Linked DNA regions of Lonchura striata. Each later gene encodes a partner of the first gene's protein in a complex. Links are inferred from orthologs where the notes say so. Each region holds a gene or a part of one and is shown on either strand. Other genes may lie near its edges.

Region 1 (6,950 bases):
GCTCTCAGTGATGGGAGGCTGAGTTCCCCTCTCACCTCTAGAGGTGGATCTTCCAGGTCAAGGCTGAGGCACGGTGATGGGGAAAATGTGGAAGCTATACACTGCTGCTGCCCAGGCTGTACCTGTGCTGTAGATAAATACAGGGCTTCAGTCTCCAAGGCTGTCAAATAGGCTGGAACCTTTCATGAACACTACATGTAAACTTTTTAAAAATTCAAAAGATGGAATCAATACAGGATCGTATTGCCTTTGGAACAGATCTGTGCCAGTTTTGGCAGTAGGTCAAATTAACTGTGGTTGACTGTCAGTAACACACCAGAGCTTTTACAGCATGACACTCAAGGTTTTTAAAGCTGCCTGCTCTCCCCCTGTAGATGAGAATACTGACCTGATTTTTGTAGCCCTTGTCCACTCCGAGTGTCTGGGTGCAAAATTTATGCTTAACTCCGAAGTGCCGCATTAGGTAGGCCAGGTCAATAGTCCAGATACTCTTTGTTAACTGGAGTTCCTGGATGGCTTTCTGAAACTCATCATTGTCCAAATGATTCAGGTACCTATAGCGTCAAGAAAGGCAGGGGAAGAGAAGCACAGATCTTAGAAGAAGCAAAATGTGTGCTGTAGCCCAAGCCTCTACATCACAGCACATAAAAACTGAAACAACAGGCTTGGCTAAGAAGTAACAAACAAAAAAAAAAGCCCCAAAAACAAACCAACCCACAAAGGAGACAGAAATTTAAGGGAAGGGAATAGGGAATATTTAACCAGATTTATTGCTGACTTTTTAAAATTGGAAATGTGTGGTGCCTTGACTGTTTTAGAGTGCTAGAAGTGTACAGGTGCTGTACCAGAGTCAAGCTGGTATAGAACTCTGTCCTGAAGGGTTTACAGTGTAATGTATAAGTGTATTAGAGCCAACAGAGAAAGAAGAGTTAAAGACTAAAACTTCCTTCACACAATAGATGGATTTTAAAAGGAGGAGCCATAAAGGAACTCAGTAAATATTCAAAGTAAACTTGTCTTAGGCACTGATGACACAAAAGGAAGAAAGTGGGAGATGGAAGTCAGGAGGAAGCTTGGCACAGGTTGCAAAGGGGCAGGCAAGGTAGTTACAGGGAGTTCTGAAAGTAAGAAAACAAATAGAAGTAAATGATAAAAAATAAAAAGCAACTGGAACTGAGGATGCAGGGCAAACAAGGTCATATCAGCAGGGTAAGAAGATTAATCTTGGAAGCTGAGTTTTGGGCAGACTGGAGTGGCAAAGAGGTAAAGGGAATAGAGGTTACAGTAGTCAAGATGGGAAATTACCAGCACACGGACTAACGTCTTGGCAGAAGGGATGGAGAGAAATGAAAATCTTCTGCTTCATATCTACTAAGTGGACATCTAAATAGGTATTTCTCCTGCACCTAAGCTCATGTTCCTCTGTGGAAGGAAAGAGGAGTTCAGCAGGACAGCTACTAGTTCAAAAACTGGTAAAAACAAAAATAAACAAAAAACCCCCAGAGGGCAACACAATTTTGAAGCTGAAACTACTCCTGGAACACAAACACTCATCCCACAGGCTGGGGCTCAGCAGGACAGAGGTAGCACAGGTACAGCACACACTCATAAACTGAGATACACCTACCCATCACTTGAAAATACAAAAAGGAATCGGATGAGTCACAGCTAACTATGGGTTCTGAATTGTAACAACAGAAAAGAGGCAAGACTTTCTATGTGCTTGTGCATGCCAGCCTGCAAAGTTCATAGAGCTGATTAGGTATTCTGCATCTGTGTAATTAGTCAATTATTCAAAGGAGTCCAAAGTTCACTTCAGTTTATGTTTTCCCTTGCTCCTGCTGGAGAGCTGGGCCAGGCCCAAGCAGCTGTCATTGTCCAAGGGTACCTCAAAAACTGTTGCTCTCCTAAGACTGAACTCATGGCTGCTTCAAACACACCTCTTCTCCCTGGGATGTTTCCTGCTACCCCTCCCCATGGAATGGGATTTCCCACTGTAAGAGAGCCACTTACTGAAGCACCATCCTGGAGCAGGCCAGCCCACAGTCCCAGTGGTACAGCTGCTGAATCACTGGCACTTTCAGCTGGATGCAGTCAACTGTGTGAGCAGAACACAAACAATGTCAATCCATACAGGAATGTTTTTCCATGCCATGAAGTCAGCCTGTTCTCAGCACTACAATCATGGAAACTTAGGAATGTGGTTTTGTCTGACTGGCAGGTGGATTTTTTTCTTCCTTAGGGGAACATACAGTTAGTATTTCTGTACAGGTAAGCATTTGGTTTAATCTCATACTCCTTCATTGTTCCATACCTAGGTCACTGGCTTTCCACCCCCTTTTCCCTTGGAAGTTTCTTTTTTCTTTTTTGTGAGGTGATGTACCCACCACCCCTCAACTGAAGCGGTGTCTTCTCCTGGATAACAGCAGGTAAGACACAGGTCTTTTCTGTCTGATTGTACTTCTGTGCCACAAGAGGAGTTAAACCACACTGGGAGAAAACACACCAAGATCTCTGGGCAGGAATCTCTTAGAAGCCCCACAGATTTAAACCTTTTCTATAGATGTCTTTTTTCTCAGGGATGGTAATTTACAGAATTTAAACAAAACTCACAAGTGGTACCAGTTGTGTTAATTCCATCAAAACCTCAGTAGAGAGGGAAAATTAATAAACTCTGCCAAAAAGTCCCAAAACACAAGCTCCATCCTCTGCCTCAAGTTTTTTCTTTTTACGGAGCTGGCAATGTGGTGGTTTCAGTTTCACCACTAGCAGGACTTGAACAGTTGTATCTGTCATTGCTACTTCAGCATTGATCAAAACAAGTTAATCACAAAGAGCTTTCCTCAATAACCTTTGATCTAGAAAAGGCCTTCGAGAAGCTTGGTTAACAAGGTCCTCTAGATTTTATGATGGGAATAAAAATGCATTTGATATCACGTGGATTTGTTTAGTTTTGGGGTAATATTATTTATAGAACTTTTTAGATAACGTTGTTATATTTTTCCTAGTTGTGCCCCTGTTTAATCATGACTTTAAAGAACAGCATACCAATTGATATATTCAGTCTTTTAAATTCATCTAGCTTAAGGTGTTCTCAAGTATCGTAACAAAAAAAAAAAAAAAACAAAAAAAAAGAAAAGAAAACCAATTCCCATTTGTCTTCAAACCAGGACTTCTCAACTATTTTATCATAATTTCTTCTTAGTATGTTATGAATCTGTCCCCTTTTTGTAAACAGCCAGGGCCTCTACCAAGTCCCACATTAACCAAGGGCTACGTGTTTTCTACGTGAAAGCTTCAGAGAGCGATAACAAGTTTTCCTGGCCGTCCAGTTTCCAGTCACCTGTTTCCCAGCACACCTAGAGCTCTTTGGCGATGGCTCGCTGCCGTCCCGACACGGGAGACCGGCCCGTCTATGCCCTGCCTGCGAACCACCCTGCGAACCCCTCTGCGCTTGGCCGGCTCCCCGCCGCCACCACCTTACCGACGGAGCCGGTAACTGCGCACGGCTGCTGCGGGCAGCGCGGCTCGGCGGGGCCCGCACCCGCCGCCCGCCGGGCGCTGTCCCCGGCCCGTTCCGCGGGCGGACTCCGCCTCCCGCCGCCCCCTGCCCGCGGAGGCCCCGCCGGCCCGAGCGGGGCTGGGCGGCCCGCACTGACCTGGCGGCGGCTCGCCGGCCTCCCGGGGGCTCTTCATGGCGGTGGCGGCACCCGCCGCCCGTTCACTGCCGGCCCCGCCGAGCCGGCGGCGCGGCCCCGGGGCCCGGCGCTGGCTCCTCCCGGAGGCGGGGGCTGAGGGGGGCCGGGCCCCGGGGCGCTCGCCCCGCGCCGTGGCGGCGAGGAGGGCGGCGGGGCGTGCGGGCGGGCGGGGGCATGACACGGCGGGCGAGGGGCGCGCAGCCCTGCCGCGGAGCGGGGGCGCGGCGGGGCTGCCGGGCCGGCCCCGGGCGGCAGCGGACGGGCCGCGCCGCCCCCAGCGCCGCGTTCCGGTTCCGGCGCGCGGAGCAGGCCGGGAGGCGGCGGAGGCCATTAGCGGAGCGGCGCGGGCGGTGAGTGCGGCGCGGCGGCCTCGGCTCCCCGCGGGGCTCCGTGGCTCCCTGGGCTGGCTGTGGGGAGGCGCCCGAGCGGAGCAGCCCCGGAGGGGCCGGCCGGAGCGGGAGGGCTGGGGGGCCCCGTGCTTGGCGCCGCGCCCCCAGCGCGGCCGTACCGCTGTGGGGTCCGCCTGGGGCTCTTCCCTTGGAGGTACGAGTGGTTTGTGTTGTGGTCCCTAAAAGTGAATTTCCCAGAAGAGACCTGGAAAAGACTGGCTGGTGATGTTTAGAGTCTTGATGGGCACGTCTCTAGAGGAGTGTTACTGGTGCATAGTCAAAACGCATGTTGTGTTATAAATGTGAGAAAAATCGGTGCTTTACACTAATGGAAGGGATGATGGATTGTGTAATTGGACCTTATTCGACATCTTTCTTTGTAATAAAGCTTTTGATTTCCTTGTGCCTCAGGTGTAGAGCCACAGCACTGCAGCCATGTCGATTGGAGTGCCCATCAAGGTCCTGCACGAGGCCGAGGGCCACATCGTGACCTGTGAGACCAATACAGGAGAAGTTTATCGAGGCAAACTTATCGAAGCTGAGGACAACATGAATTGTCAGGTATCTTTTGTTTCACAAGGATGGAGGGAAGGTTGGCTTATCTGGGCCTCAGAAGGCTCAAAACTTGATCAAAAGACTGTTGCTTTTAGTTCTGGGATTAAAAAAAAACTGTACTGGTGCTGTTTTTTACCGTGTTGAAGTGGATTCATCATTACAGAATGCTTCAAAGAGGCCAGAGCTTATTTCCAATTTCAAAGTAGGATTGGGCATCCCAGTCAGTAGGATCAGAGATTTTAAGAGTCTGTCCTGTGAACAGTGTTTTTCCAGAATTCTTTGCTTAAAGCCACTGAGTGTAAGAATAAAAAAACCCCTTGATTTAAGAAACTAAAGCTTATTTAATGCACATTACTATAGTCGTTCCAAGAGGGCCTAACTTTGATTTCAGGCAAGTGATCATTGACATTAGAATGCTTTCCCAATTGTTAGTACTAGAATAGCTTTATTAAAACTATTTGCATATAAGAAAACAAAAATGATAGATACTGATAAAGCTAATTTGTAAACTGGTGAGAAAGCAAAAGTCCTGGGCAGCAGGCATGGGGTGTGTTTAAATGGTCGTGATGCCTTGTGTCACAGGTGAGGCCTGTCTGAGCATTGACTGATTTTTTACCTTGCAGATGTCCAACATAACAGTGACATACAGAGATGGACGGGTGGCACAGCTCGAGCAGGTGTACATCAGGGGCAGCAAGATACGGTTTCTCATCTTACCAGATATGTTGAAGAATGCTCCTATGCTAAAGAGCATGAAGAATAAAAACCAGGGCTCTGGAGCTGGGCGAGGGAAAGCAGCCATTCTCAAAGCTCAAGGTACGTACAGTTTGTTCATGATCCCTCCCCCTGTTTTTCTGTAGAACTGGAAGACTCATCTCTGTCTCTGAGGAGATTAAGCAGTAAGAAGTGAAAAGCTTGCTGGTTCATACAGTGTTTTTCTGTATATTTTATCTTACAGTGAGAGTCAAGACTCAAATTGTCCCAATTACCTGAATGTGATGTGATGAATATTGATGCTACAGTAATTTAGAGGTAGTGAGTGGCCTTATTAAACAGAGCCTTTCTGTTAAATTTAAGAGTTCTGTTTTCCTGCAGCTTTGGCCACCAGCTGTTTGAAATGCTTAGGGAAGGATTCAGGTGTTCTTGTTGAGCTGTTGTAGGAAAACAGCTTTAGTTACAAAGATGGTACTTGAGCTGCTGGGAAGCTGTAATTATTACCTTTTCTGTAGTTCACTCTCATTTGTGCCTTTCTCAGGGGATCAGTCTAGTTGTTAGGTAGTTGAGTAGCAGTCACAAAGTCCCTGGTTAGCATGCAGTAACGTTTATGTGGGGGAGTAACTTACTGCATGTTGCAAAACCTTGCAAGAGTGTGGGGTTTCAAATCTCTGGGGTGACACAGATTTGTGTGTCAGAAGGAACATGAGATGTCTGAATATCACCTGCAGTTGTCCTGAGGAGCCAGACTGTGGGACCATTAGGTTATGGTTCTTATCACAGAATGCTTTGTGCTCTTCACATCACTTTCTGAGCATTTCCTTGCTTCTGAGTAGGAGACCTTGAGTTCTGTTGATATTTTGCTTGTCAGTTGTTGAGATAAATGTGCAGGTATGTCAAATTCATGTCATCCCTGATGTTTTCTTTCTTCAGTGGCTGCAAGAGGAAGAGGCCGTGGTATGGGCCGTGGCAACATCTTCCAGAAGCGAAGATAATTTTGGTCTCGGCCGAATTGCTTTTTGTATTTGGGGTGTTAACTTGACTATGTGTGCACGTTAGTATCAGCTTTGTTTAATAAATGTTTCTGACAAAAACTTGTCTGCTCTTACCTGACAGGACAATTCTTGGACAAATACACTGTAGGTTGGTTTCAAACTCAAGCCAGCTTTGGAAAATAGTGGACTTTATTATATCTAGTTTTGACCACTTTATGTGATGCATTGATTTCTGAAGATCATTATGTTTCCTTTTTCTTGTTTAGTCCTGCTGTCATTTATTCTCTGAAGAATTAGAAGGCATTCTTAATGAAGAATTTTGGGTCATACATTATAAAGTCTTACTAGCAGCTGCATTTATGGAAAATACAGCAAAACAGAGGCTGCTTCCTGAGAAGCAGAGCACTGTGTCCTTTAGCTTTATATAGGCCTACAGTAGATAGAGGTTTATCTTCAAATCTCTATATTGTATTTGTATTCTTGCATTTTTTATCTTTCTCTTTGGATATAGGGAGAATTTTTCATTAGGAACACACAACTTTGATAGCCTGAATCTATATTTGCAGTGAAAAAATCTGTTCTGACTTTCTTAGTTTTTC
Region 2 (7,305 bases), on another chromosome or scaffold:
TCTGAAAAATACAAGAGCTAAAATGTAAGGCATCAGGACAAAGTGGTGTGTGATGCAGTCTTTAAAGCTGTAGAAGAAACTTCAGAAGCGCAGCTAAGCCTGAGGACAGTGAGCTGAGTATTCTGATGGTCTTTGCTGCCATCCTGTGGAAACGGCAACAATGAGTTTAAGGATATAAAATCTGCTATTTTCACGTGCAGAAAATGGGGCCCCAAGGCGTCGCTCGTGTTGTCTCGCTTTAGTTTTCAGAGAAAACAAAAAATAACAGATTTCAGTAAAACAATTGTATTATATTAATTGGGATACCAAGACTAATTAAACTCTACTTTTGCATTGTTTTCAACAGTAAAAGACAAATTCAGTATCATAGTTCATACATGGTGAGCAGAGTCAGTGGACTATGTTTTTAATGTAATTATTTAGAATCTGTTGTAGAACGAGAAGCTGTAAAGATTTCAAGAGCACAAATTCCCTGAACACTATCAAAGAAGGATCTTCCCATAAAATAACCCACCACAACAGAAACTTGACATTAAGCACTGTAAGGCAAACAGGAAGGTGTCAAGATGGAAGGTGGAGGTTTGGAATTAGCATAGGGGACAAAAACTCTACTGTGCAGACTATGGGAAAAGAAACAACTGCTTACACTCTGTGTAGCCTCTACACCCTTTTCTCCAAGTGGTCTTTACAACCTTTTCTCCAATTCCCTCACCCTTTTCTCCAAGTGGTCTTTGCATCCTATTCTTCAAGTCCCTCACCCTTTTCTCCAAATGGCCTTTCCACCCTTTTCCCCCAGTCTTTCCCCCTTTTCTCCAGGTGGCCTTTCCCCCAGCCCCTCACCCTTTTTCTCCAGGTGGCCTTTCCCTCCTTTCCCCGTCCCTCCCCCTTTTCTCCAGGTGGCCTTTCCACCCTTTCTGCCAGCCCCTCACCCTTTTCTCCAGGTGGTCGTTACATTCTTTTCTCCAACTCCCTCACCCTTTTTTCCAAGTGGTCTTTACACCCTTTTCACCAAGTCCCTAATCCTGTTCTCGCAGTGGCCTTTCCACCCTTTTCTCCAAATGGCCTTTACATCCTTTTATCCAGGTCCCTCACCCTGTTCTCCAAGTGGCCTTTCCACCCTTTTCCCCCAGTCCCTCACCCTTTCCCCCAGTCCCTCCCCCTTTTCTCCAGGTGGCCTTTCCACCCTTTCCCCCCTGTCCCTCCCCCTGTTCTCCAGGTGGCCTTTCCACCCTTTCCGCCAGCCCCTCACCCTTTTCTCCAGGTGGTCTTTACATTCTTTTCTCCAAATCCTTCACCCTTTTTTCCAAGTGGTCTTTACATCCTTTTCTCCAACTCCCTCACCCTTTTCTCCAAGTGGTCTTTACACCCTTTTCACCAAGTCCCTTGTCTTTTCTGCAAGTTGGCCTTTACACCCTTTTCTGCAAGTCCCTCATCCTGTTCTTCCAGTGGCCTTTCCACCCTTTTCTCCAAGTCCCTCATCCTGTTCTTCCAGTGGCCTTTCCACCCTTTTCCCCCAGTCCCTCACCCTTTTCCCCCAGTCCCTCACCCTTTCCCCCTGTCCCTCCCCCTTTTCTCCAGGTGGCCTTTCCACCCTTTCCCCACTCCCCTCACCCTTTTCTCCAGGTGGGCCTTGCCCTGCTCGGCCAGCAGCGCCTTGCGCACGCCGAAGGCCACGCTGCTCTCGTAGAGCGCCTGGTACGCGGCGAGCGTCAGGCGCAGCTCGTCCCGCACGCGCAGCAGCAGCAGCCCCCGCTCGGCGCAGCTCACCGTGGTCTGCCGGATCAGCTCGTCTGCAAGGGAGCAACACAGGCTGCAGTGCCCTTCTCTGGGACATGGCTGCTCCTCTCACCTCTCACAGACAGAGCACGGCTTTCCCAGGCAGCGTTCTGGGAAAGGCAGTGACAGGCTCAGAGAAAAGAATGAGGAACAGTTCTTATCTTGCTGCACCGGGTGGTGTGAATATGTGGGATGTGTTATGGGGGTTTGTTTACCAAAGGGTGGTTGTGGGAATCCAGGGCTTCCCTCTGGCTGCCCTGGCAGGTCTGGGACCCTGGCAGGGGTCAGGAACCCCCCTGGACAGAGCCCCCAGAGACACTGGCTGTGATCTCTGCCCATGGAAAAGAGTTTTCAATCTTACAGGATGAACTACCAGCTCTGAGTGTTTGATATAAGTAATAATTAAATGTAGCACAGGTACAGAAGTAAAATTTTAGAATTTTAGATTAGGGGTTCAAAGGGGACAAGATGGAGGAAATTGGGCGTGTCTTGTCCTTCTTCTTCATGCCCTCCATGTCTCACTGTGGTGTTGGCATTTTTCTATTGGTTTAGGCTGGAAACACACTATTCAATGTAAATAATAGATATTAGCACATTATTGTAAATACAGCACACATAGTTTCTGGTATTTAATGTTTGTAACATCCCACTGAGGGCAGAGCCCCACATGCTGCCCTGCAGGACAGAGCTCTGCAGCAGGGAAGCAGAACATAAGCAAAAATAAACAACCTTAAAAACCAGCACAGACAAATTATAGCTACTTCTTTAACAACAAGGCAAAAAAACAGAGACTCTTTACAATTTCAGAATCGTCAATACCACAAATTCCAACAGGTGTTACTTAATTAGCATCAACTTCATGGTGATGGTGTTTTAAGTAAAAGACCAATTAAGTCCACCAGTAGCAAACTAGGGTATAAAAAGGCAATGGGTTTCTTTATAAAGTAAATTATCAGCCTTCTATAAAATGCATGGAGTTCATGTCACTACTTACCCAGCTGGGGACCTGTTGCAGTGACACTCCACCACTCACTGTGCCACACAACTGGAATCACACACTGAATCACAGAGCTGCCAGGTTGGAACAGACCTTCGAGATCATCAAGCCCTACAACCTCACCAAGTGCCACATACAATCTTTTTTTAAACACACGAGGGATGGTGACTCCACCACCTCCCTGGGCAAACCACTCCAGCACTTTATCACCCTTTCTATAAAAAACTTTTTCCTAATACCCAACCTGTATTTCCCTTGGTGCAGCTTAAGCTTCCCTATTTCATGGCGGTGTAAAACAGGGCTTTGGAAGGGTAAATGTGGCCCTGAAGGGTCAGTGGGGTCCTGAGATGTAAATGGGGTCCTGGAAGAGTAAAGAGGGTTGTCAGAGAATAAATGGGGTTCTGGAAGGGTAAATGGGGCCCTGAGGGGAAAATTAAGTCCTGGAAATGATGCTTTAAGTTTTAGCTTTTGTATAGAAGGGTAAAGAGGGTTCTGAGGGAATAGAGAAGGTCCTAGGGAGGTAAATGCAGGCCTTTGGGGTAAATGGGCCCACATTTAGGACATGGAATGTCCTAGAGACAGTAACAATTGATTTGTTTAGTTCCATTGCAGCTGTAGCATTGAGTGCAGCAGGTAAAAGCAGAGCAGTGGTGCAGCTCTTCGGGCAATGCCAATGATGCTATCCCCTAAAGCTGCAACAGCAAGCACTCAAAAACGTGTAATGGACTTGTTGCAGTCATGGGGGAGCCCTCAGAGGTTCCTGTGTCATCAGTGTGTGACACACACACACGGCTCCAGGTTACTTTAAACAAACTTGGCTGAAGCGCAGCCAGGAGGACACCCGAGAGGATTGAGAGCTGTTTCCAGGTGCAGGCTGCGCACTGACCGAAGCACTGCGTGTAGAGCTCCCTGCGCACGGGGCACAGCCCGGTCTCCCGCGCCTGCCGCTGCTGCAGCTGCCGGTCCAGCTGCTCCTGCAGCTGCAGCACGTCCCGGCGGGTGCTGGGCGCGGTGGACACCTCCTGCACCCACAGCTTCTGCGCCTCCTCCCACTCCCTGCCAGAGAAGCAGCGGCCGTTACCGGGGCCGCCGGGCGCCCCGCGGCCCCGCCGGCCCCGGCCCGGCCCCGCTCACCGCGGCGGCAGGATGGCGTTCAGGAGCTCCTGCGGCTGCTGCGCGGAGGAGAGGCCGGCGGGGCCGCGCGGGGCCTGGCTCTGCGGGAACACGAGAGGGCAGCGCCGTGAGGGCGGCCGGGGCGCCGCGGCACCCTCGGCCCCCCGCGAGCCCCCCGCTGGCGCTCACCGCCGCGGAGGCCCGGTCTCCCCGGCGGGACACCAGCACGGGCGGGCAGTACCGCAGCAGCGACTCGGGCGGCGCCGCCATGGCGGCCGCGGGCCCGTCACCATGGCGGCCGCGGGCCCGTCACCATGGCGACCGCGCCGCCCGCCCCGCGCAGGCGCGGCCCCGCCCCGCGGGCGGAAGCGCTGCGGGCGGAAGCGGCGGCACTTCCGTGCGGGCGGGCGCCATGGAGGCGGCGGAGGAGCGGCGGAGAGAGCGGCGGCGGCGCCGGGAGGCGGCGGTGGTGAAGGCCGAGCGGCGAAGCCCCCGGCGCAGTGCGTCGCCGCCGGGCGAGGAGCGGCGGGGCCCGGCAGGGCGCGGCAGCAGGTAGGGAGGCCCAGCCGCTCGGCCCCGCGCTCGGCCCGGCCCCGCCGCTCAACCCCTCCCGTTGTTCCCCAGGTCGCCCCGGCGGAGGAGCAGGTCCGGGAGGAGGAGCCGCTCCCCGCGAGGCAGGAGGAGCCGCAGCCACAGCCCGCACCACGGCGCCGTGAGGGTAAAGCAGGTGAGTGGGGAGACTCGGCCGCGGCGGGTGCGGTAGGCGCCTCTTCATGTGTCAATTCCGACTGGGCCCTACATCGTGTCCCATGAGCAGAGAGAGGATCTGGGCCAGTCGGAGCTCCTGCTGCCCAGCTCAGGCTGTGCCACCCGTGGCTGTAGCTGCTCTCGGAGCCGTGCCCGTGGAGCTCCCATGGGAGCCCTGCTCCTGCCACAGCACAGGCACCCCTGGGAGCTGTGTCCTCTCCCCAGAGCAGGCTACACTCGCTGTTTCTGGTGCTTTATTCAGTGCCAGTTGTGGGAACCCAAGTAGGCTGGCAAGGAACTCTGTTCCACGTCGTGTCAGGGCTGCACGGTACATCCCAGTGTGTGTTTTCCCAGCGCGTGGCGCTGGGATTTTCCGAAAGGCTGAGCTGCTGCTCTCTGTGATCCTCCCTTCAGGAGCGAGACGATCACTGTCGCAGGGGCACCGAGGAGCGGAAGCAGAGGCACCCGGCGGAGCAGGAGCACCGGCGGGAGCGGGACAGGAGCGGGGAGCGGCACAAGGAGCACGCAGACAGGAGGAAGAACCCCGGTGAGAGGCCGGGAGCGCGCGGCCACGAGCGGGAGGCGCAGAGCCTGCGGGAGCAGCAGGCGGAGAGGGAGCTGCACAACGAGAGGCGGCGGGAGCAGCGGCAGAGCAGCGAGCAGAACGCAGAGCCCTGGCAAGCAGAGAGCAAACCCAAAGAAAAACCCGCTGCCAACAAGGAGAAGCCAAGCTTCGAGCTGTCGGGGGCGCTGCTGGAGGACACCAACACCTTCCGGGGCGTGGTGATCAAGTACAGCGAGCCCCCCGAGGCGCGCATCCCCAAGACGCGCTGGCGCCTGTACCCCTTCAAGAACGACGAGTTCCTGCCCGTGATGTACATCCACAGGCAGAGCGCCTACCTGCTGGGCCGGCACCGCCGCATCGCCGACATCCCCATCGACCACCCTTCCTGCTCCAAGCAGCACGCCGTCTTCCAGTACCGGTGAGAGCCTGGCAGGGCTTCCAAACGGGTTCCAGGTGGTTTTTGAATTGATAATGCAGTTTGTGGAGGTTTTTTTACCTAAGTAAGAAAAGTGAGTTTAGTTTGCATTTTTACAGTGTGTTAAAAGGTTACAAGAGTCTTAGGTTAAAAATGTTACCGTCTTCTAGTACCTCAGATGAGTTCTGAAGGGATTTGAGGTGGTTTTTGAATTGGTTTTGATAATGCAGTTTGTGGGGTTTTTTTTACATAAGTGGTAAAAGTGAGTTTAGTTCACGTTTTTTTATGGTATGGGTTAAAAAGTTAGAAGAGTCTTAGGTTAAAAGGGTTGCAAAGTTACAAGAGTCCTAGGTTAAAAATGTTACCATCTTCCAGTACCTGTGAGAGCCTGGCAGGAGTTCTGAACAGGTTTCAGGAATTTTTGAGTTGGTAATGCAGTTTATGGGGTTTTTTTTACGTAAGTAAGAAAAGTGAGCTTTGTTTGCGTTTTTACAGTATGGGTTAAAAAGTTACAGTACTTAGGTTAAAAGGGTTAAAAAGTTACAAGACTTAGGTTAAAGAGGTTACTGTCTTCCAGTACCAGTGACAGCCTGCGACAACTTCCGAACAGGTTCGAGGTGATTTTTCAGGTGATTTTGATAATGCAGTTGGTGGGGTTTTTTTTTACCTAAATAAGAAAAGTGAGTTCAGTTCACGTTTTTTACAGTATGCGTTAAAAAGTTACAAGACTTAGGTTAAAAAGGTTAAAAAGTTATGAGAGTCTTAGGTTAAAAGGATTAAAAAGTTATGAGAGTCTTAGGTTAAAAATGTTACCGTCTTCCAGTACCTGTGAGAGCCTGGCAGGAGTTCTGAATGGGTTTGAGGTGGTTTTTGAATTGATAATGCAGTTTGTGGGTTTTTTTACCTAAGTAAGAAAAGTGAGTTTAGTTTGTGTTTTTACAGTATGGGTTAAAAAGTTACAAGAGTCTTAGGTTAAAAAGGGTTCTGTCTTCCAGTACCTGTGAAAGCCTGGGAGGAGTTCTGAAGGGGTTTGAGATGGTTTTTGAGTTGGTTTTCATAATGCAGTTTGTGAGGTCTTTTTTAATGTAAGTAAGAAAAGTGAGTTTAGTTCATGTAAGAGCTCCCTGCATTTCAAATTCCAGCAAGGGAGGAAAGCAGCACACAAAGCAAGTGCCTTGGAATGGGTGGCTGGGAGGGGACAGTTTGCTGTTGGCACATGTCAAGTGGAATTTATGCTGCAGGTCATCCCAGCAGTGGCCAAATATATCTGAAATTCAGCTAGCAGCAAGCAGAGAAATCACACAGGGGGTTAGACACAGTGTGGGGTGTGAATCCAGGCTGGAGTCACCCAGCAGCTGTGATTGACTGGGAGCATTCACAGGAAACAGAAAACAGGGCTTTTTACCCCAACTCTGTGGGATGGGAACTGTTTCTTAATCCCAGAGAAGCACCCTGGGCATGGAGCCATCAGCTCCTGGGTGCTGCTGCCAGCACTAACAGCTTTAGCATCAGTCCCACGGATGTGAGAGCATTTCAAGGTTTGTGAGAGCATTTCAAGGAGATGTTGGTTTGTTTGCTCGCTGTGATGCACAGGAGTGTGGGTCTCAGATTCAGTCAAAGAAAGAAACTGAGAGTTTCTAGCTGGGCAGAAGCCTGGGAAAGAGCTGGACAAGAATGTAAATAATTCTTTGT
Region 3 (7,850 bases), on another chromosome or scaffold:
CAGTGTAGTTTTAAATAAAAAAATATGTCAGGATAAATTAACTCCTTTTTTAGGTCTTACTTTATAAATCTCTTCATAGGTTTCTTCATCAATCTCTATTGTAGTCACAGTTTCTTCTACATCACCCAAAATCATATTTAAGTGCTGATCGTATGCCTGTAGAAAGTAAGTTTAGTTTACCATGTTTCCCAAAATTCAAACATGAGTTTCTTAAAATGAGAATTTTAGCAAGACTTTGAGACATAGTTTTGTCTGATTTTGACCAAAACATAGTACTATCATTCTAGTTCCAGCTCAACACAAACATAAACAAACGAGAACTTTGCAGCAGAAAAAAGAAGGTACAACATTTGCATTTACTGCAACACTTGCAGGAAATAGCTCTGAAGCATTCTGTGAGAGCATTTACAAGACCTCAGAGACAGACAGACTTTGTTAACATTAAACCAGCTATACACTGCTGCCAGTCCAGCCTCCTGGAATTGATTGCCTGGGGGCAACTTACAGGGTTTGAAAGCTGCTTCTCGTACAGTGCTACAAAACCTTATACTCATGTTCCAAAATCCTTAAAAAGCATGTTGCAAACTACATGTCCCTCATGGATCTCTCATTATCTGTGTGCTTCCAAAGGAGTTGAGGCCCAGTTAACTCATGGGGCAACTGGTTCTCCTCCCAGCAGGGCACAGCACTCAGGGAGGCTGACTGACTTACAGAAAGCAAAAATCTGAGAATGCAGCTGAGCACCTGTCCCATCACACCTCCCAGGGTGTGCCTTAAGGGATTCTTGTTTGATAATAATGACCTCAGTCTAGAAGAGGCCTCAGGGTACATCATATGAAGAGGCCTGCAGCATTATTGCTTATTTCACAGACAGAGAAATGGAAGCCAAAAGCAGTGAAATTTGTTGCTTGGTATCATTCAGGAGACAAGAAGAACAAAATACATCTCTTGATTTTCTAGGGAAGCAGTTAATAGCTGACAAAGCACTGAGGAAATGAGATTTTTCCACCAATCACATTACAGTTCTGGTAACTAAGACAATTCTTAACCTACTTTCTCCAACCACTTCTGCACTTTCAACCAGGAAATGCAATTACTCATGTTTTAAAACTAACTTTTTCAACAACCAGTGGAATATTACAGGTAAACTTGTTTAACAGACTGTTGTACATAAAGAAAGGCTGCACAGTGCTTAGCTGGATGAGCATGACAATGTTGTGAAAGTTTTACTTACATGTAATCTGCCTCTAAGCTCTCTGTCATTCCTCATTTTGACATAGATTCGCTCATCTAGACTGAGTCTGATGAGATCAAGTGGCTCCTCTACAGTATTTGTTGTTTGTTGCTAAAAAAAAAAAGCAGCATTATTTGTACAGAAGAAGCCTGTCAGCTTTTCCACTCCTCAATGTGCGACACAGAAAACAAAGGAGTGAAAACACAGATGCAAATAATTCAAATTACTCCATGACATGTTAGAGAACCTGAGTGCTGCTGATTTACCACTCCACTGACACTCCGCAGCCCTGAGCAATGCGAGTCAAAATATTTCATTTTAGCCTGCAGCAAATCATTCTTTACACACAGGGGGACTGGAACTGGATGATCTTTAGGACATCACAAAAACCATTCTATAAGCAGTGAACTGTTTTTCCTACCGGCAGCCACAGTTTACACTGCAGGAACCAGCAGCATAGCTGTGCCGTGGCACGGCACAGCTGAACCAGCCGAACCCACGCTGCCTGCGGTGCCGGCACAGGGAGTTACCTGGGCACACCCAGGGGGCTCTCGTGTGCCGGGGTACATCCCGGGGGATCTCGGGTGCCCCGGGCACACCCCGGGGGCATCCCTCGGGTGCCCCGGGCACACCCCGGGGGCATCCCTCGGGTGCCCCGGGCACACCCCGGGGGCATCCCTCGGGTGCCCCGGGCACACCCCGGGGGCATCCCTCGGGTGCCCCGGGCACACCCCGGGGCGATCCCTCGGGTGCCCCGGGCACACCCCGGGGCGATCCCTCGGGTGCCCCGGGCACACCCTGGGGGCTCTCGGGTGCCCCGGGCACACCCGGGGGGATCTCTCGGGTGCCCCGGGCACACCCCGGGGGGATCCCTCGGGTGCCCCGGGCACACCCCGGGGGGATCCCTCGGGTGCCCCGGGCACACCCCGGGGGGATCCCTCGGGTGCCCCGGGCACACCCCGGGGGGATCCCTCGGGTGCCCCGGGCACACCCCGGGGGGATCCCTCGGGTGCCCCGGGCACACCCCGGGGGCATCCCTCGGGTGCCGGGGCACACCCCGGGGGGATCCCTCGGGTGCCCCGGGCACACCCCGGGGGGATCCCTCGGGTGCCCCGGGCACACCCCGGGGGGATCCCTCGGGTGCCCCGGGCACACCCCGGGGGGATCCCTCGGGTGCCCCGGGCACACCCCGGGGGATCCCTCGGGTGCCCCGGGCACACCCCGGGGGGATCCCTCGGGTGCCCCGGGCACACCCCGGGGGATCCCTCGGGTGCCCCGGGCACACCCCGGGGCGATCCCTCGGGTGCCCCGGGCACACCCCGGGGGGATCCCTCGGGTGCCCCGGGCACACGCTGCCCCCCACACTCACCGCGGCCAGGCCGGGCCCCGAGGCTGCCGTGAAACCCCAGCACCCAGCGGCCTGAGGCCCCTTGCTGGGCGAAAGGCGCACTTCGAGAATCACAATTTAAAAAAAGTGTGACGACCTCCTCCACATCTTCCATACACATCCCGTATTTCCCTTCTAGCTGCCCCCGTCCTTCAGAGCCCGGGGCACTGCCCTCGGCGGCTTTCCCCCTTCCCCTCCGCGGGCAGTGCGGGGTCGGCGGGCCTGCAGCGAGCCCTGCCCGCGGCCCGGCAGCGGCGCAAGCTCGGAGCCGGCACGGAGAGCTCCCGGGCTGCCCAGAGCTGCCTCCCCTGCGGCCCGAGGGAGCCCAGAGCGCTCACCTGGTCCACCTCATCCGCCATCATTCAACGCGCCTCCCGCGCCCGCCCGCGAGACTTTATGGCCCGGCCCCTTCCTTCCCTCCCCTTCCCTTCCCTCGCCTTGCCCGCCGCGCCCTCCGCGGGGCGGGCCGGCCCGCGCCATGGCCAGGAAGCGCCGAGCGCCGCCCCGGCCCGCCGCCGCCAGCAAGAGGCGCTCCGGGCGGCCGCCGGAGGACGAGCCGGAGGAGGGTGAGGAGGGTGAGGAGGGTGAGTGCGGCACGGAGGCCGCGGCGGGCCGGAGCTGCGCCGCCGCCGCGGCTCGGGCCGCTCCAGCCGCGGGGTCGGCTCGGGAAGGACGGGCGCGCCGGCCTGGAGGAAGATGGATGTTATCGCTGCGTTATCCAGGCGTTAAACCCGCGTGTGACTCGTCCCCCACGCTGCCAAAGGCTGAGCAGCCCGTGCGGGGCTGTTTCATCTCGGCCGTGCTCTCCTGAGCAGCGGCATGCGAGAATAACTTGTTATGAGTGGCAAGCACGATGCTTGGTTTTCCGCCGATTCCATCGGTAGGACTGTAGGAATCTTTAGGTACTTCTTGTGAGTTATGTAGGTATTTCTCTCCAACAAGTCTCACTGTTCAAATCCTGCTTGTTTGTAAACAAACAATGACATGCTCAGCATTGTGATTGCTCGCATTCTTCTGAAGCTGCCTCTAATGAAGGCCATGGAGATATTGTTTCAGATGGCCATGGAGATGAAACTCTGTCCTCTAACATTAATCTTCATTTCTTTTGTCATTTGCAGATGATTTTGAAGAGAAAAAGCCCAGTATAAAAAAGACCTCAAAAGCTCCAGCTAGGAAAAAGGGAGATGATTGTGATACTGAAGTTTCCAACTCAGCAAAAACTTCCAAACTTTCAAAACAAGAAGAGGCAAAATCACAAATAAAAGAAAGTAAAAAGAATGCTAGAAATAAAGATAATTCTATCAAAGAAGAAACATGCAGGTAAATTTATTTATCACTCAAGTCTATAGGACCTTTTTCTTACTTCTTTCTGTGGTTTGATGGTCAAATACTCAATCGGTTGTTACTGATGCAGAGATCATGCTTGATTTGTTTCTCTATTTTTAGTCTTTGATAAACAAGCACCTGTGTTTCCTGGTGCTACCACTGTTTTGTGATTTTAACAGTGACTCACTGAAGCATCCTCAGACGGAGATAAAATTAAAGACAGAATCTCCTGTTAAAAAAGAAATGGATGAAGACAATACTGACAACAATGATGATGATGATGAAAGTGAAGATGAATGGGAGGATGTGGAAGGTAACAATTGCATATTTTTTCATGTTAAGCACTTTTTTTAAGAGCCTGTATATCACAATGATTCCTCAACAGCAGGTGACCAACATCCCACAGTAATTTCAATTAACTTAGCACACACAGTGTTATGGAAGATCCAGGAGCTGGTAGTTACTGGATGTGTTCTGTTTGAAGGTTGTTTGAACACTTGAGAAGGAAAATGTAGGTTCTTATCCAATCACCAGTCCTCCCTGGGAATCTATTCCATGTTTACTTATAATTTAGTGTTTTATTTTTACAGAACTTCAGGAGCCTCCAGATAAGTTAGAAGAAGCTACTGTTCTTCCATCAGTGGGGCTGCCAAGCAATCCTGTCGAGATAGAGATTGAAACCCCAGAGCAGGTGAAGAAAAGAGAGAGGAGGTAAGAACAAGGAGGTGGTGGAGGGCTGCTAAAGGCTGAAGTTAAAAATACCCTAAGTCTTGGCTGTCACTGACTTGCTGCGTTCATTCAGGGTGAAAATCCCCACGTGGTTCAGACCAGTGAGCTGGAATAATGCAGGGCTATGGGATGAACAGTTTACACACTGACTGTTCTACCAAAAATCTTCAGTGGAAGTTGGCAGGAATGGAGGAGGCTTTTCAGCTTCCTCGAAAATCAAGTGTGTAACTTCATTGTGTTTTACTGTCTCCGTTTCCAGTGAAGGGACAGCAGGAAGTCTCTGCGAGGACAGCTGTGGGTGAATGACATTGTGTTACTGCAAAACCTTAACAACCTGTTCACATAACCAATCACTAAACCTTTCCTTAAGTGTGCATGGAAGATGGCCCAGTTCAGAAATCAAGAAAGGCAGGTCCACAGAAAACCCACAACATCCCTTTCTTTTGTAATCTTCTGCAGAGAAAAAAGAAAAGCTGAGTTTGAGATGTACCTTCGGAGAATGATGAAACGTTTCAGCAAGGAGGTTCGTGAGGACACACATAAGGTATTTGTCACAGAGAACCATGGCAGAGAAGAAATTGAGCATAAAGGTGTCTGAACTGATTTGTAATCAAAATAAGCTATTTTTTAAATAGTTAGAAAGGCTAGAAGTGACAAAATAAAGAGGCTGTCGTCCTGACAGATGCTCATTAAGGTTCCTCTTAAACTGTGAACTGGAAACATCAGTACCTGTGTTAGTAAAATTCTAACTCAAAGCATATGTGAGTAGGATGTATATGTCTCCATAGAGGGATATTGTCTCATTCTGTTGGGATTAAACTGTCAGCCATGTAGAGCAGGAGACACTTGCAAAGACTTTAGTGCTTTGCTGTCTTCTGAAGACAGCACTGAGTCTTGGGAGGCATTATTGCCACCTCTCTCTGTTAAAAGGAGCAGTGAAGTATTCCTTGTCTTTACCATGAGCAGTAGTTCCAATAAGGAAAATCTCTTGTGAACTCACTTTCAAACTCTTCTCTCTCAGGTTCACTTGCTGTGTTTACTAGCAAATGGTTTCTACAGGAACAGGATCTGCAGCCAGCCAGATCTCCTCGCCATCGCTCTGTCCATCATCCCCACCCGCTTCACCCAAGTGCCCACAGGCCAAGTGGGCCTTGTCTACCTTTCCAACCTGGTGAAATGGTAAAGCTCTTCTGATGGTGCTGTCACATAGAATGTAGAGCGAGAGTTCTGGGAGAGGGGTAACTGTAACTAGCAATTTTCTGTGGGTTTTTAAAATTTTATCTGCAAGGGTGAGAGGGGCTGTCCTTTTTAGAGAAGGAGAGGGTGAACTCAGAAGTTTAAGAATACAGTCACAAACACTGGATAATAAGCAGGTGTCTTGTATTTCAGGTTTGTTGGAACCTTCACTGTCAATGATGAGCTTTCCACTGAAAAAGGAGAGCCCCTTCAGGCAACACTGGAGAGGAGGTTTGCCATCTATGCTGCACAGGATGATGAGGAGCTTGTTCATGTAAGAGACTGGGAAGTGCAGGGCTGGTTGGTGAGTTTGGATGCTGTGTGTCAGGTCATACACAAGTGGTGGAAGGGGTGGATTTGAAGAAGGCAGATCGGTGACTTAAATGATTCTCTAGCTTTTTATTTTCTTGCATTTTTATCTCAAGAGCTCCTGTGATTAAAGTACTCAATCTGTTTTGCAGATATTTTTAATTATTCTGAGAGCATTACAGCTGCTGTGTCGTCTCGTGCTGTCTTTTCAGCCTATTCCTCTCAAGGAGACAAGACCAAAGGTAGATTTTGTTGTTTGTGTAGAATAAGGAATAGGTCATTGATTTAGTAGGATTAAAAAAACTTTATTCCTATTACAGCTTATAGTGAATTGTTTACTGCATGAACCAGGGTTCTGTCTACATTGCAGAAAATGCACACCCTTAATTTTTAATTTTCTTCTTTAAAAAAGCCACTCATTTCTGTGTTTCAGCAAAGATTTCTTAACATTTCAGTGGGTTTACATTTCTTAAAACTTAGATGGCAACTCTTACTGCATGAATACACCTCTATTCAGCCAGTTGCCTGAAGTTTTCAAGTGAGTTGATTGTACCCGTGAACCTTTGGTCTGCATGAACCTTGGGCTGATTTTAGTCTTTTTTTTTTACCATGTTCTTAGCTGTGGTCATAAAAATGACCTGGCCTGTTTCCCTGTAGGCAAAGAGCTCATCCAAGAGGCTGTCTCACAGCAGCACCCATGAGGGACGGGAGAGTTCTGCCACAACACCCAAAGCTGTGGCAAAAACATGCCCCTGCAAAAAAGCCAAGCAGGATGAGAAATCCTCAGAGAGCAAAGAAAGCAACAAGGAGCCAAAGAAACCCAAAACTGCCCAGACTGGAAGGACACATAAATCAAAGCTGACTAAAGGTAGCCAGGAACAGAAGGGATCAAATAATGAGACCAGTTCAGCAGAAAAAGATGTGCCAGTCAGGCCCAAGAACGACCGCCGGAGACGAGTGGCCTCCAAAGTGTGTTACAAGGAAGAGAGTGGAAGTGATGAGGGCAGTGCTTCAGACTTTGAGGTTTCAGAGGAGGAGAGTGATCTCTCTGATGAGGATTTTGAAACTGTCCCTAAGAGGCGGAGAAGTTCACAGGCCTCCCAGAATTCAAAGCTGACAACTGTAAAAAGGTCAAAAACTGAGACTTCAGAAACAAGGCAAGCAGAAAATTCGCATGGAGCTGAGACTAAACCAGCAAAAAGTACAACTCCAGCCTTGCCTCAAGCACAGAGAAAGAGAAACAAAATCATTTCTAGTGATGAGGATGATGGACAGCAGGAGGTGAGGAGAGCAATGGGCACAGACCAGTGGCTGGAGGTTTTCCTTGAGCCTGAGGACAAGTGGGTTTGTGTAGACTGTGTTCATGGCAATGTGGGCCAGCCCCAGCTGTGCTTTGCACATGCCACAAAGCCGCTTTTCTACGTTGTGGGGTTTGACAACGATGGGAGTGTCAGGGATGTGACACAAAGATACGATCCAGTGTGGATGACCTCAACAAGGAAGAGCCGTGTGGACGCAGAGTGGTGGGAGGAGACACTGCAGCCATATGAAAGTCCCTATGTGGAGAGAGACAAGAAGGAAGAAAATGAGGTAAATCACACTAGGTTGTTCAGGACACGTAGTGCCAGG
Region 4 (7,446 bases), on another chromosome or scaffold:
TGAGGATGGGAATGTGATGGGGATGGGATGGGAAATGAGATGGCAGTGGGGATGAGAATGGGATGGGGATGGGAATGAGATGGGAATGGGGATGGAATGGGAATGGGAATGAAGATGAGGTTGGGAATGTGATGGGGATGGGGATGGGACGGGGACGGGATGGGAAATGGGATGGGGATGGGATGGGAATGGGGTTGGGAATGGGACAGGAGCCGTTTCCTGCCCGCGCTGGCCCTGTTCCCACCCGCTTCCCCGGGCCTGGGGAAGGAGTTCCGGCTTGGATCGAGGGGATGCTCCAGGGGATCCCCTCCCAAGCCAGGGCACCTCCTGGCTCTGCAGGTGCTGCGGCACGAGGAGTTCGAGGAGGGCTGCAAGGCCACCTGCAACGGGTGAGTGCCCGGTGCAGCTGTTGTTCACAGTAAAATAAAGTTTGGGTTGTTTCTTATTAAATTGCTTCCCTTGGAACCTGCAGCCCCCCACTCTGTGTAGGTGTGGTGTTTATATTGCACAGAAATACCACGCCTCTAGGTTGATACTTAATTATTTCTCAGCTTATCAGGAATTTCTCAGCTTATCAGGACTCCAGTTCCACTGATTGTTTAGATAATCGTGGCACTATCAAGGTTCTTGAGTTAAAAATCCCTCCTGGTAGCCCAAGGCTAAAGAAAAAGAAATTAAAAGAAGAAGAAAGAGGAATGCATTTCATTGTGAAGTGGAAGGAATCTTACAGTTTGGTGCCCTTTCCTACTTAGCAATAAGGAAGTGATTATGTAATTGCAGCTAATGAGCAGCCTGTGCTCTTAAAGCACCAGCTGTTAATGAGGTAGAATTGCTTTTATCATATGAAGAGAGCCCGGGGTCAAATCTGCCACGATTTCACTCTAGAAACACAACTCCTCCTTGAAACACAAATACTCGCAGTTCTTGGTGGTTCATTTCAATGCTAATGACATTAAAATATGGATAATATGGATATTCCAGCCCTTATGATGGAAAATGGAGCAAGACCATGGTGGGTTACGGACCAGAGGACAATCACTTTGTGGCAGAGCTGACTTACAATTATGGCATTGGAGAATATCGCCTGGGCAACGACTTCCTGGTGAGTTCCACTCATGATAAGCTGATTTACCTTGATAATTAGGAGCTCATTTGTCACAGCTGCTTATTTTTATGCTGTTGGGTCCCTTAACCACATAATCGTTGCTTTTATGGTTGTCTCTGAGTTGGAAGAGCAGAATCCAGAGCAGATTTGTGCTCACTTAGAGGTCCAGGAAACATTTCTGGAGCTCTCCCTCTGCTGTGTGGGACAGCTGGTGTTTGCTGCCAGATCCAACAGGAGGAACTTGCTGCAGGAAAACACTCTTATATTTATTATTTTGATAATTTTTGTGATTTAGTGGCTGGCAGCAGATGGAGATCTCGTGTTTCCTGTGTGGAAGGAGGTTCTGTCTCTGCCTCCACCCCATGGATTGTGTTGTGTCCTCTCTAGGGCATCACTCTGGTGTCCAGCCAGGCTGTGAGCAATGCCAAGAAGATGGGGTGGCCCCTCAAAGAAGTCACCTCTGGTGTCTTTGAAGCTGAAGCCCCAGGAGGATACAAATTCTACCTGGAAGACAAAGAACAGCCCAAGCAAGGTGAAATACCCCTGCTGGTGTTCAGCAGAGGTTTAACAGTGGGGTATCAGAGTGTGTTTATTTTGATGGCATTTTGTAGAACAGTACACTTTTTTTATAATTTCTCTGTTACTTCTCAAGAATACTAATGACATTAACTGTGGATTTAAAGCTATAATATGTTTGTAGCTAATGTGAAATTATTGCAATCCTCAAGATCCCGTGTGGAAGGTAACCCTGGGTGTCTCAAACCTGCAGAAGTCTGTGAGCTACTGGTCTGGTTTGCTTGGGATGAAAATCTATGAGAAGGATGAGGAGAAACAAAGGGCTTTGCTGGGCTACGCTGATAACCAGGTCAGTCCTTGGAAAAATCACCAATTTCAGGAAAAAAGCTCTTAATTAGAGCAACTGTGCCCTTAATGATGAGTGTTTTAATTGACGCTGTATACACCCAGCTGCGCTTTTAAAAATAAAAAAGCAAAGCTGTGGTTTGCTGTGGCTTGTTGGGAAAGGCGTGGATGGGGGATTTTGGAATCAGCTGCAGCCTGGAGCAGTGTCCCTGCAAGCCAGGCTGGGTTTTTCCCTGTCCCAGTGCAAGCTGGAGCTGAAGGCTGTTGGAGGAGCAGTGGACCACGGGACAGCGTTCGGCCGCATCGCCTTCTCCTGTGCCAAGGAAGAGGTAACAGCCCCATTTCCCTCCCCCCAGCTGGGGAAGGTTGTTTTGGTGTTAACAAAACCCTGAGCAGATAGTTTATCTCTTTGGCAGCGAGGTGATTTGGGTTTGCTTTCTGTTTCCAGCTGCCAAGCATTGAAGCCCTGATGAAAAAGGAGAATCAGAAAATCTTGACGCCCCTGGTCAGCTTGGACACGCCTGGCAAAGCCACGGTGCAGGTGGTGATTCTGGCTGATCCTGTGAGTAAAACTGAAAAGTTTTAAAAGTGGTTAAATTTGGTTTCAGTTCCTCCTTGCCATTAGTTATAACTGAGCTGCCTCCTTTCAGGATGGCCACGAAATCTGTTTTGTGGGGGATGAAGCATTCAGAGAGCTGTCCCAGGTGGACCCTAATGGTGACAAGCTGTTGGATGATGTAAGTGGCTGCACATTCATTTTCTTCCTGATTAGAGATACCTGTAAAATCCAATTTTCATTCCATGCTGAGTTTTTCCTGGAAGCAAATCACCCAGGGTTGGTAAGGAAAATAAATCAGTTTTTAAATCTCACTTGGTGCCCTGGGTGGAGTTGTCCAGCATCACTCTTGGGGCATGGTCTCGTTGTTTGCTGTGGCAGAGAAAGTTGGTTTTCAGTGTCAGTTCTCCTTACTAGTAGCTAAAAAATGATTTATCTCTCCAGAGAGCTTTCCTCCTGTTCTGACCATGTTCCCACTTGTCTTTGTGCAGGCCATGGCTGCAGACAACAGTGACAAGTGGTTTGCTGAGCACAACATGAAGAAGGTTTCAGCTTAGCTGGAGGAATGGCCTGTGCTGCTATTCTGTGCCTTGGAGTTCTTCCAAGAAAGTGCCAATCCTGGTTAAAGTGCTGCCTTCCTAATCAGAAGGTGCTGGGATTTCCTGTGGTGGGTTTTTTTGGGTTGATTTAAGCTGATGTCTCTGGCCTGCTGCTCTGTCCCTTTCACATCTCATCCATCCAAAAAAACGGGGGCCATGCAGCAAAGGAGCAGCTGAGCCCTTGGCTTCAAAACAGGGACCATCAGTCAAGAGAGAATCACATTTCTGTGTTGTTATGCTTCAAGGAAAGGTGGATAGGTTATTTTCTGATTAATTAATTTCCTGATTACTTTGCTTTAGCTGTCCTTCATTTGCAGGCTAGAGAGGAGATTTGGAGGCAGCTGTGGCTACTCCCCCTCTCCAGGGAGGTGTGGGGTGCATCCCTTTATTGGGAACAAAGAAATGATCTTGCCAAGCTGCGTGAATACTCCAGTCCTTGTTATTCCAAGGAGTTTCCCCAGCTTCCAAGGGGAAATGTTCAGCCCGTGGTGTGTTTCTCACTGGGATCCTGCTGTTGCTGGGTTTCCAGTCTTTCTCCAGGAGATTTCCACGTTCCAGCAGGGAACTGAGGCTGTGCTTTGGGGTTTGGAGCTGCACTGTCTGCTGAGGTGCCAGGGGGCAGCTTGAAATAAGTTTTTCACTTAGCTGTTGGTGAGAAGCTGCCTTTGGAAATAACAATTCAGGGTTTTTTGTGTTGGAGTGAAGTTGCTCTGCTTTTGCTGGGAATACAGGGAGTCATTCCCATCATTGCTTGTGCCACGTATGCTGCCTGACCATCGTTTCCTTGATGAAAACCTTAAATAAAATCCTTTAAATCAGGTTTTCATCGCGAAACGAGTTTGATAGAGACGATCGATCGGGCAGCGTTGGCACTTCTGAGGTGGAGCAGGAAAAACTCCTCACTGCGATTTGTTTTTTTTTTTTTTCAGTCAGCTTTTTGAATTCCATTTTAATGGCGGTTTGGAATCCTATTTGTATGATTAAACACATTGATAGTGGAGCATGGCAATGAATTAGTCCATGAATTCATTTATTAATTTTTTCATTAATTATATTAGTCCATGAATTCATTCATTAATTAATTCACTAATGTTTTCATTAATTATATTAGTCCATGAATTCATTAATCAATTCATTAATGATTTCATTAATGAATTCGTTAATTTTTCATTAATGATTTAATTAATGATTTCATTAATTAATTAAGCAGCACACCTCCGCGCCGCCAGGGGCCGCTGCGAGCGCGCGGCGGGGCGGGGGCGGACGGCGTTACGTCAGCGCAGCGCGGGCGTGACGTCACCGCGCGGGCGCCATGGCGGCGGCGGAGCGCGGGCCCGCCATGGCGGCGGGCGGGCCCTGGGCCGTGGGCGAGGAGACGGCGATCCTGCACGGCGGCTTCCTGCTGGCCGCCCGCCTGCTGCAGCCGCGGCCGCTGCGGGAGCTGCGCAAGGCCGACTGGCCCCGCGCGGGGCTGCCCATCGCCGACGCGCTGCGCGAGATCGCCGAGCGCTGCCCCGCGCCGCGCCGCCGGTGGAAGAAGGAGGCCGTGGCCATCGTGTGGGCCAAGATCCTGCTGCCGGCGCTGGAGTGGGGCTGGAGGGATGACGGGTTCTTCTCGGTGGGCGCGATGATCCCCGATGTCAGCCCCGCCGCGCTCTTCGAGCTGGTGAAGGCGCTGGGCGAGCCGCGGCTCTGGGTGCAGCTGCTGCTGGCGCTGCCGCCGGCCGTGTGCCGGGCACAGCTGCAGAGCTTGGTGCGGTACATCTCCAGCGAGACCTCCTTGTCGGACGTCAGCTTCTTCCTGGACGTGTGGTGGGAGGTGCTGAAGCACAGGGCGGGGCAGGAGGATGCCACGGTGTCGGCGTTCGGCGCTCTCATCCACCAGCACGGCGGGGAGTCCCCCCCCGAGGATGGTCTGCAGCCCCCAAAGAGGTTCAAGGGTGACCCTGGGAGCGCCGCGGCCACCGCCGGGCTGCCCGCGGTGCTGCTGGAGGGGTTAAAGCTGATCCGAGGCAGCATCGCCCAGCCCCGCCTGAGGTGCTACGCCCTGGCCAACCTGGCGGAGCTGCTGTGCCTCTCCTCGGTGCTGGGGCCGGGGCACAGCCCCCTGCCCATCGCGGAGCACCTGGCCAAGCTCGGCGCCGTGGTCAGTCTCTGGAGCAGTGATGCTGACAGCCAGTACCACCCCTGCGAGCTGGGAGAGAAGGTGAGGGAGGCAGAGAGGAGCCTGAGCCTCCTGTGCCTGACCAAACCCTCTCGTGAGGAGCTCTTCGATGGCTTAGGCTTGCTCTGCAGCTTGCTGCAGGCCTGGGGAGAGGAGCTGCAGGACACTCTGAGGGGGTGTGAGGGGCTTTGCTTTGAGAGCTACCGGCTCCTGGACGCTCTGAGCAGCCTTGGGAAGAACCTGGATTTCCTCTTGGAGACCAGAGACCTGGGGGATGGCGGGACATGGGTGGTGTCAGAGGTGACACAGCTCATCAAGGACTTGCTCAGGGACACCGGTGCAGTCCTGAAGGGTTTGGACACCAGCCTTGTGTCTTCAGTTGCCATGGCAATCATTGCACAGAGGCTGGACCGCCATGGGGAAACCTGCTCTGTTTTTGCATCTGAAAAGACCTGGGCTTTTTCAAAGGCCTGGGTCGAGTGCCTGGTGAAGAATAAAGCTCTGTTCCAGACTCCTGAGCTAGTTTTGAAACTGCTGGAGACGCTGGTGAACTTTGCTACTTCCCACCATGACCAGGAGGCCCAAGAGCTGCAGATGCAAGTGACCAAAGCCATCGTGGAGTGCTACACTGAGCTTTCATTGAGTGACAAAAACAAAGTGATCTCAGCTGTCCTGGCGTCCTGGGGCGGCCCAGGTCTGTCCCAGAACGTGCAGGTTGTCAGGGAGGGCTTCCAGGAGGACCTGAATGTGACTTTGAACCAGATCACAGAGAGTGTGTCTGATGAAGGCCTGGCCAGGGCTGTGGCTTCTGTGGCCAGGCTGACACTGCTGTCCCCCGAGGCCACAGTGAAGCAGGTTTGTCATCTTGCTGTGGTCAACCTCGGGGCGCACCAGTTCCTCGCCCAAATCCTCTGCTCCTTCCCAGCACTGAGCTTCCTGGAGAGCCACGAGGGTGCAGGCAAGCCACGCAGCCTGGTGGTGAGGTGCCTGGAGGAGGCAGTGTGGGGGAAGCTTTCCACGGCGAGGGAAGAGGAGCAATTCCTTCAGTTCCTGGCCTTTCTCATGCAGCCAGGCTCAGCCACCCCACTTGTGTCACCTGCAGAAGTGACCGAAGCCTTTGTCCTTCCCTGTTTAAAGTCAGACTCTGCTCAGATTGAGCTGAGCCTGCAGATCCTCAGTAAGGTTTTGGGAATACCATCCTGCTCAGAAGAGCACTGGATTGAGTCCTGCCACCCATTCCCACTTCTCCTTAGCCTCTGCAAACTTCTGGATGGTTACACCAAGTACTGGCATCGGCCTAGGGAGCAGCTCTTCCCTTCCCTGGAGACCAAAGACCTGATTCTGAGCATCCTGTGCCAGCTGTGCGAGCTGGTGGGACCAGAGACCGTCCCCTCCTCGGAGCTGTGGGTGCAGTCGCTGGCCTGGCTCCACAGGAAGGTGGCATCCCTGGACTGGACCGTGGGGCTCCGTCTGAAGAAGCTTTATGGGGATCACTTCAAGAACGAGGTCCCAGCGACGCTGTTCGAGATCTGCAGGCTCCCTGAGGACGAGTGGACGTGCCAGTCCTGGCCAGCCTACGGGCCGGGCAGTGGGCTGCTGGCGTGGATGGAGTGCTGCTGCGTGTCCCCAGCGCTCAGGGACTCCATGCTGGCGCTGCTCTGCGTCAACGTGGACAACCCCGAGGAGGTGAATCTCTTCAGCAAAGGCTTCCTGGTGGCCCTCATCCAGGTGCTGCCTTGGTGCAGCCCCGGCGAGTGGAGGAGGCTGGTGCCCGTGGTGGAGCAGCTGCTGCAGAAGGAGGTGCTGCACGTGCCCTACACGCTGGAGTACGTGCAGCACGTGCCCCTGCTCAACCTGCGCCCCTTCGCCTGCCACCTGCAGCTCTCCGTGCTCTTCCTGCGGGGCTTCCAGCTCCTCTGCAGCTCCAGCTGCTCCAGCTGGCTGCCTCCAGAGGCCTGGCTGCACGTGGTGCAGCTGTACTGCGCCAGCCTGACCGACCTGCTGGCCTCCCTCAAGGCCGCGGCGGCGGCCGCGGCTCAGCCCTGCGCGCAGGAGGTGTCCTTCACCTGCATCCAGCTCTTCTGCCACCTGCTGCACGTGGCTGCCATGCTGCCTGCTGGGGGCTGTGAGGAGCCTCTGCTGGTGGTGGCCCTGGAGGTGC

Evidence for each region.
Region 2: SNRPD3 (region 1) and SNIP1 share a complex: the UniProt entries of both Homo sapiens proteins name them as parts of the minor spliceosome. The link is inferred for Lonchura striata from reciprocal best matches to the Homo sapiens genes SNRPD3 and SNIP1.
Region 3: SNRPD3 (region 1) and LSM3 share a complex: the UniProt entries of both Homo sapiens proteins name them as parts of the U4/U6-U5 tri-snRNP complex. The link is inferred for Lonchura striata from reciprocal best matches to the Homo sapiens genes SNRPD3 and LSM3.
Region 4: SNRPD3 (region 1) and GEMIN4 share a complex: the UniProt entries of both Homo sapiens proteins name them as parts of the SMN-Sm complex. The link is inferred for Lonchura striata from reciprocal best matches to the Homo sapiens genes SNRPD3 and GEMIN4.

What each region holds. Positions count from the first base shown.
Region 1 is NC_134620.1:3,928,508-3,935,457, reverse strand, and holds the start of SNRPD3 (small nuclear ribonucleoprotein Sm D3), read left to right. Parts: upstream 1-3,940; 5' UTR 3,941-4,048; intron 4,049-4,498; 5' UTR 4,499-4,522; coding exon 4,523-4,648; intron 4,649-5,265; coding exon 5,266-5,458; intron 5,459-6,289; coding exon 6,290-6,351; 3' UTR 6,352-6,950. Other genes in the region: protein GUCD1, read right to left, coding at 389-554, 2,014-2,098, 3,660-3,696. UniProt on the Homo sapiens protein: Plays a role in pre-mRNA splicing as a core component of the spliceosomal U1, U2, U4 and U5 small nuclear ribonucleoproteins (snRNPs), the building blocks of the spliceosome.
Region 2 is NC_134628.1:4,688,618-4,695,922, reverse strand, and holds the start of SNIP1 (smad nuclear-interacting protein 1), read left to right. Parts: upstream 1-4,298; coding exon 4,299-4,438; intron 4,439-4,510; coding exon 4,511-4,613; intron 4,614-5,047; coding exon 5,048-5,616; intron 5,617-7,305. Other genes in the region: DNALI1 (axonemal dynein light intermediate polypeptide 1), read right to left, coding at 1,612-1,790, 3,660-3,829, 3,908-3,987, 4,076-4,156. UniProt on the Homo sapiens protein: Required for pre-mRNA splicing as component of the spliceosome. As a component of the minor spliceosome, involved in the splicing of U12-type introns in pre-mRNAs. Down-regulates NF-kappa-B signaling by competing with RELA for CREBBP/EP300 binding.
Region 3 is NC_134614.1:14,621,194-14,629,043, reverse strand, and holds the start of LSM3 (U6 snRNA-associated Sm-like protein LSm3), read right to left. Parts: upstream 3,008-7,850; 5' UTR 2,984-3,007; coding exon 2,960-2,983; intron 1,346-2,959; coding exon 1,235-1,345; intron 157-1,234; coding exon 61-156; intron 1-60. Other genes in the region: XPC (DNA repair protein complementing XP-C cells), read left to right, coding at 3,100-3,205, 3,740-3,941, 4,127-4,260, 4,538-4,658, 5,136-5,220, 5,698-5,855, 6,066-6,186, 6,374-6,463 and 1 more. UniProt on the Homo sapiens protein: Plays a role in pre-mRNA splicing as component of the U4/U6-U5 tri-snRNP complex that is involved in spliceosome assembly, and as component of the precatalytic spliceosome (spliceosome B complex).
Region 4 is NC_134622.1:8,702,081-8,709,526, forward strand, and holds the start of GEMIN4 (gem-associated protein 4), read left to right. Parts: upstream 1-4,433; coding exon 4,434-7,446. Other genes in the region: GLOD4 (glyoxalase domain-containing protein 4), read left to right, coding at 340-389, 982-1,102, 1,493-1,637, 1,834-1,970, 2,209-2,295, 2,415-2,528, 2,617-2,703, 3,014-3,079. UniProt on the Homo sapiens protein: The SMN complex catalyzes the assembly of small nuclear ribonucleoproteins (snRNPs), the building blocks of the spliceosome, and thereby plays an important role in the splicing of cellular pre-mRNAs.